3 linked regions of the Oryctolagus cuniculus genome follow. The protein of the gene in region 1 interacts with the protein of each later gene in a pairwise test. Links are inferred from orthologs where the notes say so. Each region holds a gene or a part of one and is shown on either strand. Other genes may lie near its edges.

Evidence for each region.
Region 2: the proteins of TSGA10 (region 1) and zinc finger protein 426-like interact in binary tests that used the Homo sapiens proteins (3 or more experiments, as listed by UniProt). The two-hybrid records come from large-scale screens. The link is inferred for Oryctolagus cuniculus from reciprocal best matches to the Homo sapiens genes TSGA10 and ZNF426.
Region 3: the proteins of TSGA10 (region 1) and CCHCR1 interact in binary tests that used the Homo sapiens proteins (3 or more experiments, as listed by UniProt). The link is inferred for Oryctolagus cuniculus from reciprocal best matches to the Homo sapiens genes TSGA10 and CCHCR1.

What each region holds. Positions count from the first base shown.
Region 1 is NC_091433.1:109,304,792-109,309,062, forward strand, and holds part of TSGA10 (testis-specific gene 10 protein), read left to right. Parts: intron 1-1,266; coding exon 1,267-1,395; intron 1,396-4,271. UniProt on the Homo sapiens protein: Plays a role in spermatogenesis. When overexpressed, prevents nuclear localization of HIF1A.
Region 2 is NC_091447.1:67,469,278-67,473,648, reverse strand, and holds the start of zinc finger protein 426-like, read left to right. Parts: upstream 1-1,541; 5' UTR 1,542-2,056; intron 2,057-4,371. UniProt on the Homo sapiens protein: May be involved in transcriptional regulation.
Region 3 is NC_091436.1:139,335,808-139,340,178, forward strand, and holds the start of CCHCR1 (coiled-coil alpha-helical rod protein 1), read left to right. Parts: upstream 1-1,215; 5' UTR 1,216-1,729; coding exon 1,730-1,945; intron 1,946-2,605; coding exon 2,606-2,672; intron 2,673-2,752; coding exon 2,753-2,966; intron 2,967-4,371. UniProt on the Homo sapiens protein: May be a regulator of keratinocyte proliferation or differentiation.

The DNA of each region.
Region 1 (4,271 bases):
GAACAGAAAAGCAGGTTTTTGTCTTGTTTAGACAAAGGAAAAAAGGGAAGTAAATCTGCCAGCCTGTGTTAAGTGCTGGGTTGCACAGAGTACAAGTTTAGGTTAGTTGTTTGCGTGATCCTGATCCAGTAATTCCCTGAGATCTTGGAGAAAACAGCTGTGTTCACTGGAAATATATAGGAAGTTCGTAACAAACTCTTACTTTCTCAACATAATGGCAACTTTGATTGAGAGAAAGAAGTTATTTTGCTAATATGCAAAATCACCAGGATACACTGTCAGGTAAAAAGCACAACGCAGAGTATTATGTATAATAAAACGTCTTTCACGTTTGTAATGTTGCACATTGGCAAACGTATCTGTAGGATAAATTCCCAGAAGTCGGATTATTTGGACAGAGGCCATATGTGCATTTGTAATGTTAATAGATTTTTAAAAAGATTTATTTACTTATTTGAAAGGCAGAGTTAGAGAGAGGGGGTGGAAGAAAGAGATAGTGACCTTCCATCCGCTGGTTCATTCCACAAATAACCTCAATAGCCAAAGCTGGGCCGGTCCAAAGTCAGGAGCCAGGAGCTTCCTTTGGGTCTCCCACATGGGTGGCAGAGGCCCAAGCATTTGGGCCATCTGCTGCTGCTTTCCCAGATGCATTAACAGGAATCTGGATCGGAGGTGGAGCAACCAGGATTCAAACTGGCGCCCGTACCAGCACTGCAGGTGGCAGCTTTACCTGCTATGCCACTGCGCCAGCCCATTAGTAGATTTTTTGTATACACTTGTTCTCCATAAATATTGTATCCATTCACACTGCCACCAGAGTTGTTTAAGAATATTATAGTGTTTCATTTCTTTTTTTTTTATTTATGCAAATTACATTTCCTGGAAATCAGCGTTTACTATATGGGTAGCAAACCTTTGTTAAGTATACAATAGCAACTGCAAATGTGTAGCTGATGTCTACTATACCAGACAACAGAAGCCTAGAAATTGACTATTTAATTTACCACCAACCTGGGTTTACTTCGAATAGTGATTACAAGGGAATTAGGGCAGGGCATATCTTCTTTGAAAAGCATGTTCAATGTCATAGTTTGATATTTGGAAAACACAAAATTTTGTAACGAAATTTTAATCCTCCTAGCTGGTGGGAAATGGTTCTAAACAACATATTTAATAATGTTATTTTAAAAATTTATTGATCTGAAAAAAATCATAGAGCTGTTTTTAACTGAATGCTTGTGCATTGTTGTCCATTCTTTCCACTAGGTTACCACCAAAGAACATGATTTTGGTCTAGGGGCTCCAGTTTCTGAAGCTGAAAAATACCAGAAGACTCTGCAGCTAGAACAAGAAGTGAGAAACCAAGACAGATTCATCTCTACACTAAAATTACAGGTTTACCTTTAGTTTACATATGTATTTTTCTGAATTTGAATTGGAGCCTACTTTAAAACAAGATGGACAGGGTGGGCATTTGGCAGAGGTTAAGAAGTAACATGGGGCCGGTGCCGCGGCTCAATAGGCTAATCCTCCACCTAGCGGCGCCGGCACACCGGGTTCTAGTCCCGGTCGGGGCGCCGGATTCTGTCCTGGTTGCCCCTCTTCCAGGCCAGCTCTCTGCTGTGGCCAGGGAAGGCAGTGGAGGATGGCCCAAGTGCTTGGGCCCTGCATCCACATGGGAGACCAGGAGGAAGCACCTGGTTCCTGCCTTCGGATCAGTGCAGTGCGCTGGCCGCAGCACACCAGCCGTGGCAGCCATTGGAGGGTGAACCAACGGCAAAAGGAAGACCTTTCTCTCTGTCTCTCTCTCTCTCACTATCCACTCTGCCTGTCAAGAAAAAAATAAATTAATTAAAAAAAAAAAAAAAAAGGCAACATGGGGTACCACATCTCATGTTGGAATGCCTGAGTTTGAGTTCCCACTCCACTTCCAATCCAGCTTCTTGTTAGTGTGCACCCTGAGAAACAGCAGATGATGGCTCAAATACTTGGGTGGCACCTGTGTGGGAGACCTGGATGGAGTTCCAGACTCCTGGCTTTTGCCTGGCCCAGCGCTGGCTGGGCATTTCAGAAGTGAACTGGTGGGTGGAAGAAGTCTCTTTGTCTCTGTCTCTGTTGCCCTGCCTTTCAAGTAAATAAAAATTAATAAAGATGTTTAAGAATAAAACAAGATATAGAATAAATAATTATTAATTCACAGCTCATTTAAATCTAAACCATTCAATTTTTATCTTAACCTTTTGGATAAACAGGTTCAGAGTGAGTGAATGCAAACTTTGTGCCAACTTGTGAATCAGATGCTTTCAGGAACCTTTTGAAACAGTGATGGTATTTCCATTTATAGACATGAAGCTGAAGTTCCAGTAGGTTAAGTAATTGTGATATTCAGCGAATGAGTGACAGCTAGGATCTGTCTGAACTCCCAGGTTAGCTGAGATTTGGACCTAGTTCTCTAAACTCCCAAGTTCAGTGTTGTTCCTGTTCTCAGGATGTCTAATGTGGTATAACTGTTAATAAAGCCTGTGAAAGAGATTACAACTTTGGAATGGAGTAGACTTCTTTCTTTTGCTAAATACACCTAAAAACTCACTCTGAACTTTATATATAAAATAAACAAAAGAATGCTCTAAAAGTAGAGGGACATCAGGACACATGCTACTGAGTTCCTGGATTTTCTTTTTCCCTATATGTCTCAGACAGGGTGCAGGAAAAACTGGCAAATGGAAATGACAATGAGTGCAGAAAAAACAGACCTTAGAAAAACCATTCTTATCTGGCCAAAGGACCAGGAAATGGGCTGTCTAGCAAGGCAGATGACATTTAGACAATGTCTAATAACTGCCCTGTCCACACAAAGACCATAGAAAAAACTACAGCCCCATTCCTGCCAGCACAGGACAAGTGGAAAGCCTGTGCTTGTGCCTACGCTTGTACCCTTGCCAGGGTCTGACAGAGGTTCCCAAGCCTTCCTGTTCCCTCTCCCCTTTGTGGGCTGAGTACTGAAGTCCTCAGTAGGCGATGCCAAGTGGAGACCACATGGGGAGGCAGGACATCCTTCCCTATCCTGCAGGAAGAGGTAGCCTCCTCCTCCTTGGGATGGTGTGAGAGGAGACCTGGTGCAGAGTCAGGACACTGGCCATCTCTCAGCAGTAGCAAAGCCGCATACTCATGATGTCAGTGATAGACACAGGAGGAACCCTAAGGAGGAGCCTTTGTTCCTCCCAGCTCTGGTGGTAACAACAGAGGCCTAGAGGGAACCTGATCTCCCACCCCTGTCTAGGAGTACCTAGGAGCCTGGCCCTCCTCAGGTGTCAGCTGAGGTTGGGTAGAGAAACTGTACTTGTACCCTTTCCTAGCACTGATGAGGCAGTGTCTTCCTTTTCTAGTGAAAGGAATATTAAAAGAGGCCAGCTAAAGTAAAAGATCACAGTCTTACAGTCTCAATAGGTCTCAATTAAAAATTCACTCATCCCAATAATAAGAAATATGAGAAAAGACAAATCAGGCAAATATGAGAAATGAAACAGATGTTAACAGTTATCTGGTGGTCTGCACTGTGGAGTAGTGGGTAAAGCCACCACCTGCAGTGCCAGCATCCCGTAGGGGTGCCAGTTCGAGTCCTGGCTGCTCCACCTCCGATCCAGCTCTCTGCTATGGCCTGGGGAAGCAGTAGAAGATAGCCCTTCACCCACATGGGAGACCTGGAAGAAGCTCTTGGCTCCTGGCTTCGGATTGGCGCAGCTCCGGCCATTGCAGCCAATTGGGGAGTGAAACAGCAGATGGAAGACCTCCCTCTCTCTCTCTGCCTCTCCTCTCTCTATGTAACTCTTTCAAATAAACAAATAAATCTTTAAAAAAAAGTTTTATCTGTTGAAGATTTTAAAACAGTCATAAAAAAATGCTTAATAAATAATTATGGGCATGCTTGAAACAAAAGAGCAAAATAGAAAGTCTCAGCCAAGAAATTAAAGTTATAAAGAACAAAATGGGAATTTTAGAACTAAAATGACAATTGGCTCACATAAAAAATCTTGACACACATATTTCTAGCAGCTTTATCACAATTGCAAAAACCTGAAAGTAGTCAAGATATCCTTCAATAGTAGGTGAATGAATAAACAAACTTTGATAACTTTTATACAATGGAAAGTATAAGTGATAAGAAGAAATCAACTATGAAGCGAAAAAAAAGGCATGAAATAACCTTGAAAGCATTAAGTAGGTCAAAGAAAATGTGAAAAGCCTTCACTCTATGTGATTCCATTTATGTG
Region 2 (4,371 bases), on another chromosome or scaffold:
GCTTTTGCAGCCACAGACCTCATTAGGGTCAGGTGGCAAAAGGCTATGGCAGCAAAGGCAGCAACTCTGAAATCCCAGACCCTGTCAGCATCATTACCCATGAGCAGCTGTGGTCTCCTGGGAGGGGGTGCCCCTCACCATGAAATCCAGCTTCACTCTCAACCCCAGTTTCCTGCAAGTGTGCACCCTGGTATGTAGCAGGTAATGGCTCAGGTAGTTGAGTTTTGCCCACACACAGGAGACCTGGACCAAGTTCCTGGCTCTGAGCTGCTGCCTTGCTAGCTCTGGCAGTTGTGGACATCTGAGGAGTGAACCATGAGATTGGGGCTCTTCCCCACCACCTACTCTGCCCCCTCCCAGTAAATAATTTAAAAGAAAAAAAAACATAAACTCTTTTGACTACAAAAAAAAAAATTGTACACCAAAAGTTGAAAACAGAAAAAGCTGCATTAGAAAGTTGATAATGGGGCCCAGCGCTGTGGCATACAGGGTTAAACTGACGCCTGTGACGCTGGTATCCCTTACAGACCCCAGATCGAGTCCCGGCTGCTTCACTTCCGATGCAGCTCCCTGCTAATGCACCTGGGAAAGCAGCGGAGGATGGCCCAAATGCTTGGGCCCCTGCCATCCACATGGGAGACCCCGATGAAGCTCCTAGCTTTGGCTCAGTCCAGCTCCAGCCATTGGGGCCATTTGGAGAGTGAACCAGAGAATGTAAGATCTCTCTATCTCTCCCTCCTCTCTGTAACTTTGCTTTTCAAATAAGTAAAATACAACTTTAAGAAGAAAGTTTATAATGTACTTATTAGGTCCTGATAAAATGTGCTATTAAGAATTTAAATAAAAATTTACTTCTCAATTACCAGCCACTGAAAACTACAACAAACATGACTACTAGAGAAACTCTTTAATCATTCCTAAGTAAAGAATGCCATCCAGCAGTGGTATTTAAAAAATATATATTTATTTGAAAAAAAAAAATACCCCTACAGAGAGGTAGAGAGGTCTTCCATCCCCTGGCTCACTCCCCAGATGGCTGCAATGGCTGGAGCTATGCTGATCTGAAGCCAGGAGCCAGGAGCTTCTTCCAAGTTTCCCACGCTGGTGAAGGAGCCCAAGGACTTGGGCCATCTTCCACTGCTTTCCCAGGCCACAGCAGAGAGCTGGACCGGAAGTGGAGCAGCTGGGACTCGACCCGGCGCCCAATAGGCCACAGCACCAGCCGGCAGCGACATTTTACAACATTGGATGGCAGGCCCTGGATCACTGGAGATTCCCACAAAGCCCAGAAATAGTTGGGTTTAAAAAAAAAGTTTATGAGCTACAAAAAATATCAACACCCTGAAAACGCACAGGAATCCACGGTTAGAATTTAGCGTTCTATCCCGAGAGATACGTGAAATAGAGGTCTACAAACAAGGCTGACAGGGAGGAGGTGACCTGCCATTTATTTCATAGCTCGGCCTGCCCTTTGCCGTGGGACATTGTCAAGGGCGCCGGGCACGCGAGCGGAGGAAAGCACCCAGCGTGCGGCGAGTCCCCACCCACAGCCTTCGGGGTTCAGGGACAGGCGCCGTCCACTTCAACCGCGCCGAGTCCCCTCAGGGACCCCCAGCGCTCCGCGCCCAGGGCAACCGGAAGCTCCGCGGAGTCCCGCCCCGCAGCCCGGAGGCGGAAGTGGCGTCACAATCCGGCCGCGTCCCCCGTCCCGGGTTCGGGAAATCTCCAAAGCTGCTGCGTTTTCGTTCCTCCTCGGGTTGGTTCCTTCTTGGAGTCGCTCGCGTGAAGGGGAGGCCCTGAGTGTGGAAGGAAGGCGACGAAGGACGCGGGTGGCTTCCTCAGGGAGGCCCGGGCCTTCCGGAGCCGCGAGTCCTCCCGGGGCCGCGGGGCCCGAGCGGCCGCTCCGCGCGTGGGTGCCCCGGACGGGCCCGGGCCGGAAGCGTCGCGACAGCGCGGCCTGGGGACGTTTCCGTCCTCTGAGGTCGGGCCTTGGGAAATCTCCGGGGACCGCCCGTGCCCCGCGCTCCAGGAGGGATCCGGGATCCGGCGCGTTCCGGTGAGCTCCGAGCGAGAGTGGGTTCGCAGCGGGCCTCCCCGTGCTCGTAGTCGGCGTGGCGGCACGTCACGCTGAAGCAGGAGGATGAAGGTGCTTTCGGAGACGCCCGGTAGAGAGGTGTCTCGATGGGAGGGTTACACGCTCGTGGGCGACAGCTCGTCCTGCGGAAGGGAAAGTCGAACGCTCGATGTGCCTCGGCCCGGGCGTCTCACAGAGCTGACGGTCCGGGGCCGCCTCACTAACGCGAGGCTTGAAACAAGTCGAATTGACTGTTAACAGAGTGATAGTCTATCTTTTTCCCCACCTTCTTTCAAAAAATTTTAAATCTACCTAGGACAATGAATGCCCATTGTAATAGACTCCTCTGTGTTCAGCATGTGCCATGTTTTTTCTCTCTTCAGATAAGCAAACATATTTTATGGTTAAAATTATATGAGAGTGCATTGAAAATAAATTAGACATGATGCCTCCACGTTAGCTGCAGGTGTGATGTCTCCGTTGTTAGGTATTTGCTAATGCAACTCAAAGGTGAAAGACATTGGACTATTATTTCAATCAAGAAAGTGAAAGACTGTCACGTAATATCAACCCTTTTTAGTAGAAGCCAGAATTCTCCACATTGTTCCAAATTTGGCTTTTGTGCGGTTGAGGACATTTGGATAGGGAACCTGAGGATGGAGGATCTGTCTCTCCCTCCCTTCTGTCACTCTGCAGTTGAAATAAGTAATTAAATCTTTTTTTAAAAAAAAATCCATTCAAGGTTTTGTTAACAGAGTTAGAGAGAGAGATAGATCTTCACCTGCTGGTTCACTCCCTCAGTGACCACAGTGGAGGCCAGGAGCCTGGAACTCTGTCCAGGTCTCCCATGTGGGTGCAGGGACCCAAGCACTCTGGCCATCTTCTGCTTTCCCAGGCACATTAGCAGGGTGCTGGATCAGAAGTGGAGCAGCTGGGACTTGAATGCATGTTCAAATGGGATGCCAGCGTTGCAAGCAACAGCTTAACCCACTGTGCCATAATTTTGATGTTGCATTTATTAATGTCTTTTAGTCTGTTGAATCTAGGTTAGTTCCTATTGTTCCTGCATTATATTGACTTAAAGATTTATTTAAAGAGGAGGGAGATCTTCCACCTGCTGATCCACTCCACTAGTGACCACAGTGGCCTCGGCCAGAGCCATCTGGGTCTCCCACATGGATGTCACAGGCCCAAATAATTTGGCCATCTTCCACTGCTTTCCCAGGCACACTAGCCTGGAGCTGGATCCGAAGCTGGGCAGCTGGGACTCAGACTGGTACTCTGATAAGGGGTGCCAGTATTGCAGCAGATGATGGTGTGAAATGCTAGGGTTCCTGTCACTCACTTGGGAGACCAGAATGGAGTTCCTGGCTCCTGGCTTCAGCCAGACCCAGCTCGGGCTGTTAAGGACATTTGGATAGTGAACCTGAGGATGGAAGATCTGTCTCTCCCTCCCTTCTGTCACTCTGCATTTGAAATAAGTAATAAAATCTTTTTAAGAAAAAAAGAATGTTTTAAAAAAATGAAACTTTATTATATAAACCTAATAAAGGTATGATTTTCTGTTTGTTGTAAAAAACATATTCTTTTTTGCATTTAAAAAAAAAACTTATTGGTGGCTGGCGCCGTGGCTCAACAGGCTAATCCTCTGCCTTGCGGCACTGGCACACCGGGTTCTAGTCCCGGTCGGGGCGCCGGATTCTGTCCTGGTTGCCCCTCTTCCAGGCCAGCTCTCTGCTATGGCCCGGGAGTGCAGTGGAGGATGGCCCAAGTGCTTGGGCCCCTGCACCCCATGGGAGACCAGGAGAAGCACCTGGCTCCTGCCTTCAGATCAGTGCAGTGCGCCGGCCACAGCGCGCCTGCCGCGGCGGCCATTGGAGGGTGAACCAACGGCAAAAAAAAAGGAAGACCTTCCTTTCTGTCTCTCTCTCACTGTCCACTCTGCCTGTCAAAAAAAAAAAAAAAAAAAAAAAAAAACAACTTATTTATTTGAAATGCAGAGAGACAGAGAAAAGCATCTTCCATCTGCTTGTTCACTCCCGAAATGACTGCAATGGCCCAGACTGGGCCAGGCTGAAACCAGGACCTCAGGCTTATATTGGTCTCCTACATAGGTGGCAAGGGCCCAAGTATTTGAGCCATTTTCTGCTGCTTTCCCCAGGTACATAAGCAGAGAGCTACATCAGAAGCAGATCAGGGGCAGGCGCTGTGGTACAGTGGGTAAAGCTGCCGCCTGCAGTGCCAGCATCCCATATGGGCACCAATTAGAGACCTGGCTATTCCACTTCCGATCCAGC
Region 3 (4,371 bases), on another chromosome or scaffold:
GCTACTTGGGCAGTGCAAACCCGGAGGAGTGCAGGCAGCTGAGGCAGGCGATGCAAAACTGGCTGCGAAGCAGATGTGCAAGGGAAAAAAAAAAACAGGGAGGACAGGGTGCAAGGGGCAAACTGGAACGCGTCCTCCCGCCACTCAGTGGAGCTGGATCCTCGGGCCGCCAGACATCCCGGGAGCCTCCGACCTGCGCAAGGCAAAGGTCACGTTAGGCAGCTTCTGGGGAAATGCAAATCGGAGGCGTGTGTGGGTGCTGCTACACGAACGGGCTGCCCCGGTGCAATTTGAAGACAAGCTTCTTCCTGTCAGACCTGCTTATCCAAAACAACACCCCCCTCCCCGTTCGCCCGCGCCCTCGCTCTTTTTGGCCAATCCCTCATTCAGAACTAGCTTGAACCCCGGGGCGGGGGGAGTGAATTCACTGTCACCCCCCAACACACACACACATACACGCAAAGAGCAGTGCAAACAGGTCCCTAGGTACTCCCAACAAAGCGGATCTAAACCTCGCTTCCCGGCTTCCTTCGGGTGGGGTAAATCAGAAGAAGGAGCTCCTGGCGAACTCGCGAGCGCTCGCCCTCCCGGCCCCAGCTCCGTTTCGGACCTACCTGCGCGGCGCAGTCTTGGAGCGGGCTCCTCTCCAGGCGACGCCAGCCCGAGCGGCGGCCGCAGGTCCTCTCGGCCTCCTCAGCTGGGCTAAGCGCTCGCACTGCAGTTTGACAGCCAGGAAGCCGGGGCCGGGAGGGGCGCGGTCTCGGCGCGCGGGCAGCGCAGACCCCTCCTTCGGAATTCCCGGGTCCGAACTTCGCGCCCAGAGAGCCCGCCCCCAGGACCGCGCCTGATTGGCTAGTTCTGTGACCCTCTTCCGCTCCATTGGGCGGCGCGCTGGGCGGGTCCCGCGAGCTCCCGCCTTCCGCTTTTTCTGATTAGCTCAGAGGTTTTCCCGGGTCCCCGGAGTGGGGCGGAGCGGCCAAGGCGCGCAGTTGCTTAGACGCAGTAATTGGGCCCAGCTTTAGGCGCCACTGCGCCTGCGTGCACCTTTGCTCCTTTTCCTTCCTGGACAAAACGGAGTTTCAGAGCGGCCCGCCACGCCGCCCGCCTGGCGCAGGCGTAGTCAAGGGCGGAGGCCGGGCGGGGAGCGAGGTGTGGTGGGTGTGACCAAGGGGCGGAGGGGGCGTTCTCGCGCTGAGTAAGGGGCGTTCGGGAAGAGTCGGTTGGGGGCGGGAAGGGGCTGAGACGGGGTGCTGGGGGGTGCAGGGGGTCACAGGGGAAGAAGGGTACAGGGGCTGGGTAAAGGAGCGGATGAGGTGGTCAGGACGGCCTTAGAATTCAGGGTCCTGCAGGGTGTGCAGGGTGAAGGTTGAGGATATCAGGGCACGGAGGAGAGAGAGCAGAAATCAGACTAGGGTGCTGGGAGACGCGAGCAGGCTGCTTGTTAGCTGGGAGATGAGGGTGAGGGTGATGGACCAGAATAATTCCTTCAGGAAAAAAGCAGACTAGAATGCAGGAAGGGAATCCCAGGTGGGGGTGAATTCGGGTGGGAGTGTGTGAGAAAGATCTTGAAGGGCCCACTGTGCTCTAGGACCCTAGAGAGAGCAGGTCCGCAGGGATGGACGCCGAGGGCATGGGCAAGAGGGTAGTTGCAAGAAAGATCTGGCTCTTGTGCGGGGGCATCTAGGCCATCTGGACTCCCAGGCGGTCCTGGGGAGGTGTCCAGCCCTACATGTGGCCACATTCATCAGGGGCCAGGCCTTGGGCCAGCGCTCTGCTGGGAAAGGACCCGGGAGTCATGGCCTGGTGGTGTCTGGGTGGGCTTCCCCAAGGCCTTGCCGAGCCGTGGCGAGAACTCTGGAGGCTGGGCTCGGGGCCTCTGCACGGTGTGCCTCCTTCGTCCTCTCAGGCCAGGAGCAGCAGGGACAGTAGAAACCTCAGGAGAAGGGTAAAGACACTGCCTGAGTCCTAGCAGGATGATCAAAGCCCAAAAGCTCCCCCTTGGCTCGTCCACCTCCTTGAGTTTTCTCCGCCTCCCTCCTGGTTTCTGCCTGAGTTTTGTTTGTTTGTTTGTTTTGTTTTTGTTTTTTAAAGATTTATTTATTTGAAAGAGTACACAGAGGAGAAGCAGAGAGAGAGAGAGAGAGAGAGAGGTCTTCCATCCACTGGTCCACTCCCCAATTGGCCACAATGGCCGGAGCTGCGCCGATCCAAAGCCAGGAGTGAGGAGCTTCCTCCAGGTCTCCCAGGCGGGTGCAGGGACCCAATGACCTGGGCCATCTTCTGCTGCTTTCCCAGGCCATAGCAGAGAGCTGGATTGGAAGTGGAGTACCTAGGACTCGAACCTGTGCTCGTAAGGGATGCCGGCACTGCAGGTGGTGGCTTTACCCGTTAGGCCACAGCGCAGGCCCCCTGCCTGAGTTTTGCATTAGGACAAGCAGGCAGTGGGGTGGGGTCTCATACTTCTTCCACAAGAGTGGGAAGAGGAGCTGAGAGACAGGGGAGCTGGCTGTAATTTAGCATTGTGACTTTGTTATTGTAGGGGCTTTCTCTTTGGAAGGTGACCTGAAAATTGAACTGGAGTGTCCTTGTTTCTCCTCTTGTCCAGGGGAGCATAGAAGGCTGGAGGCAGCACCTAGCGTCTTCAAGTCACATGGAGATGTTTCAGCCCTCAGGTCAGTGGGGCGGCGCAGGCGAGGGGCTGGCGGTCGCCCCCGCTGCCTGGGAAGCTGACTGTGCTCTTGTGGTTCCGCAGGTGTCTCTGGCTTGATCCCCCCCTCCCACTTCCAAGCCCGGCCCCTTTCAACCGTGCCAAGGATGGCTCCCACCTGGGCTTCAGACATTCCCCTCGTCCAGCCCCAGGCCCGTCAGGATGTGTCACAGAGGCGGCTGGACACCCACAGACGCCAAGTGACCCTCTGGGAGCAGGACGTGTCCGGTGACGGGCAGGAGCCGGGGCGGAGAGGCAGGTAGGGGACTGTTGCCACCTTGTTCTCAGACTCGCTTTCTCGTGGCCTTTCTTCACTGAAACAGATTCCATGGCCTGTTACAAACCCTGACTCAGTAACTTGTTCATTTTTACATGAGCAATTATTGGTACCCACATTGCGTAAGTAATAAGACCTGGGGATGGGGCAGAGAAAAATGAAGAGAGATCTGACCTAAACTTTGTCTTTAAAAAATATGTTTATCTATGAGCAAGGCAGAGTTACAGAGAGAGAGGCAGAGACAGATCTTCCATCCACTGATTCACTCCCCTAATGTCTGCAGTACAGCTAGGGCTGGGCCAGGCCGAAGCCAGGAGCCCAAAACTAAATCTGGGTCTCTCACATGGGTGGCAGGGGCCCACGAACTCGGGCCATCTTCCACTGCCTCCCAGATGCATTAGCAGGGAGCTGGATTGAAAGTGGAGCAGCCAGGACTTGAACCAGAGCTCGGTGCTCGCAGCAATGGACATGGTGGCCAGCCTTCTCCCACCCCTAACTTAAACTTGACATTGCTTAGGAATTTAAACTCCTAGAGGAGACAGACTGACCACGCGTAGTTCAGAGCTCGAGGAAGAAGTACTAGAAATAGGCCTGGTGCCGTGGGGTGTGGGTTTATTCTGATGGAGCGGGTACAGAAAGCCTTTTCAGAGGGCAGGCGGTTGAGGGGCTGGCTCGGCCGTCTGTGAAGGTGTCGTCTGCAAATGTCCTTGTTGTCTCCTGTGTGTTTTCCACAGTTGTACCGGTTTCATTCTGCCACTTCTGTCTACCATGAGTGGGAGCACATCAAAGAGGAGTGGGTACGAGGAAGAGGGAGCAGAGACAGACCTGCTGTTTCTGTTTGACTGTCTGCTAGGGGTCTTGTGCACCTCTTAATTTCCCTAGGCTGCTCCAGAGCGCTACTCTCTATTTATTTGACAGGCAGCGTGACAGGGAGGGAGGAAGGGAGGGAGGGGCACCGAACACCTGCTGCTTCACCTCCATAGTGGCCACAGCACTCAGAGGTTGGCCAGGCAGAAGCCAGGAGCCAGGAGCTCCATCCAGGTCTCCCTCACGAGTGGCAGGGGCTGCACGCTCGTGGACGACTTCTGTTGCCTTTCCAGGCGCATTAGCAGGGAGCTGAGTTGGAAGCAGAACTTAAGGACTCAAACCAGTGCTTTGATGTGGGATGCCGTTGTTGCAAGTGGTCGCTTACCGCCCTGTGCCAGTTCTGTGGTCCCGGCCTTCTGGAGGGAGCTGCCTCAGGAGCCCTGTTGGAAGCTTTTTTTTTTTTTAATTTATTTGACAGGTAGAGTTATAGACACAGAGAGAGACAGAGAGAAAGGTCTTCCTTCCATTGGTTCACTCCCCAAATGGCTGCTACGGCCAGTGCTGTGCTGATCCGAAGCCA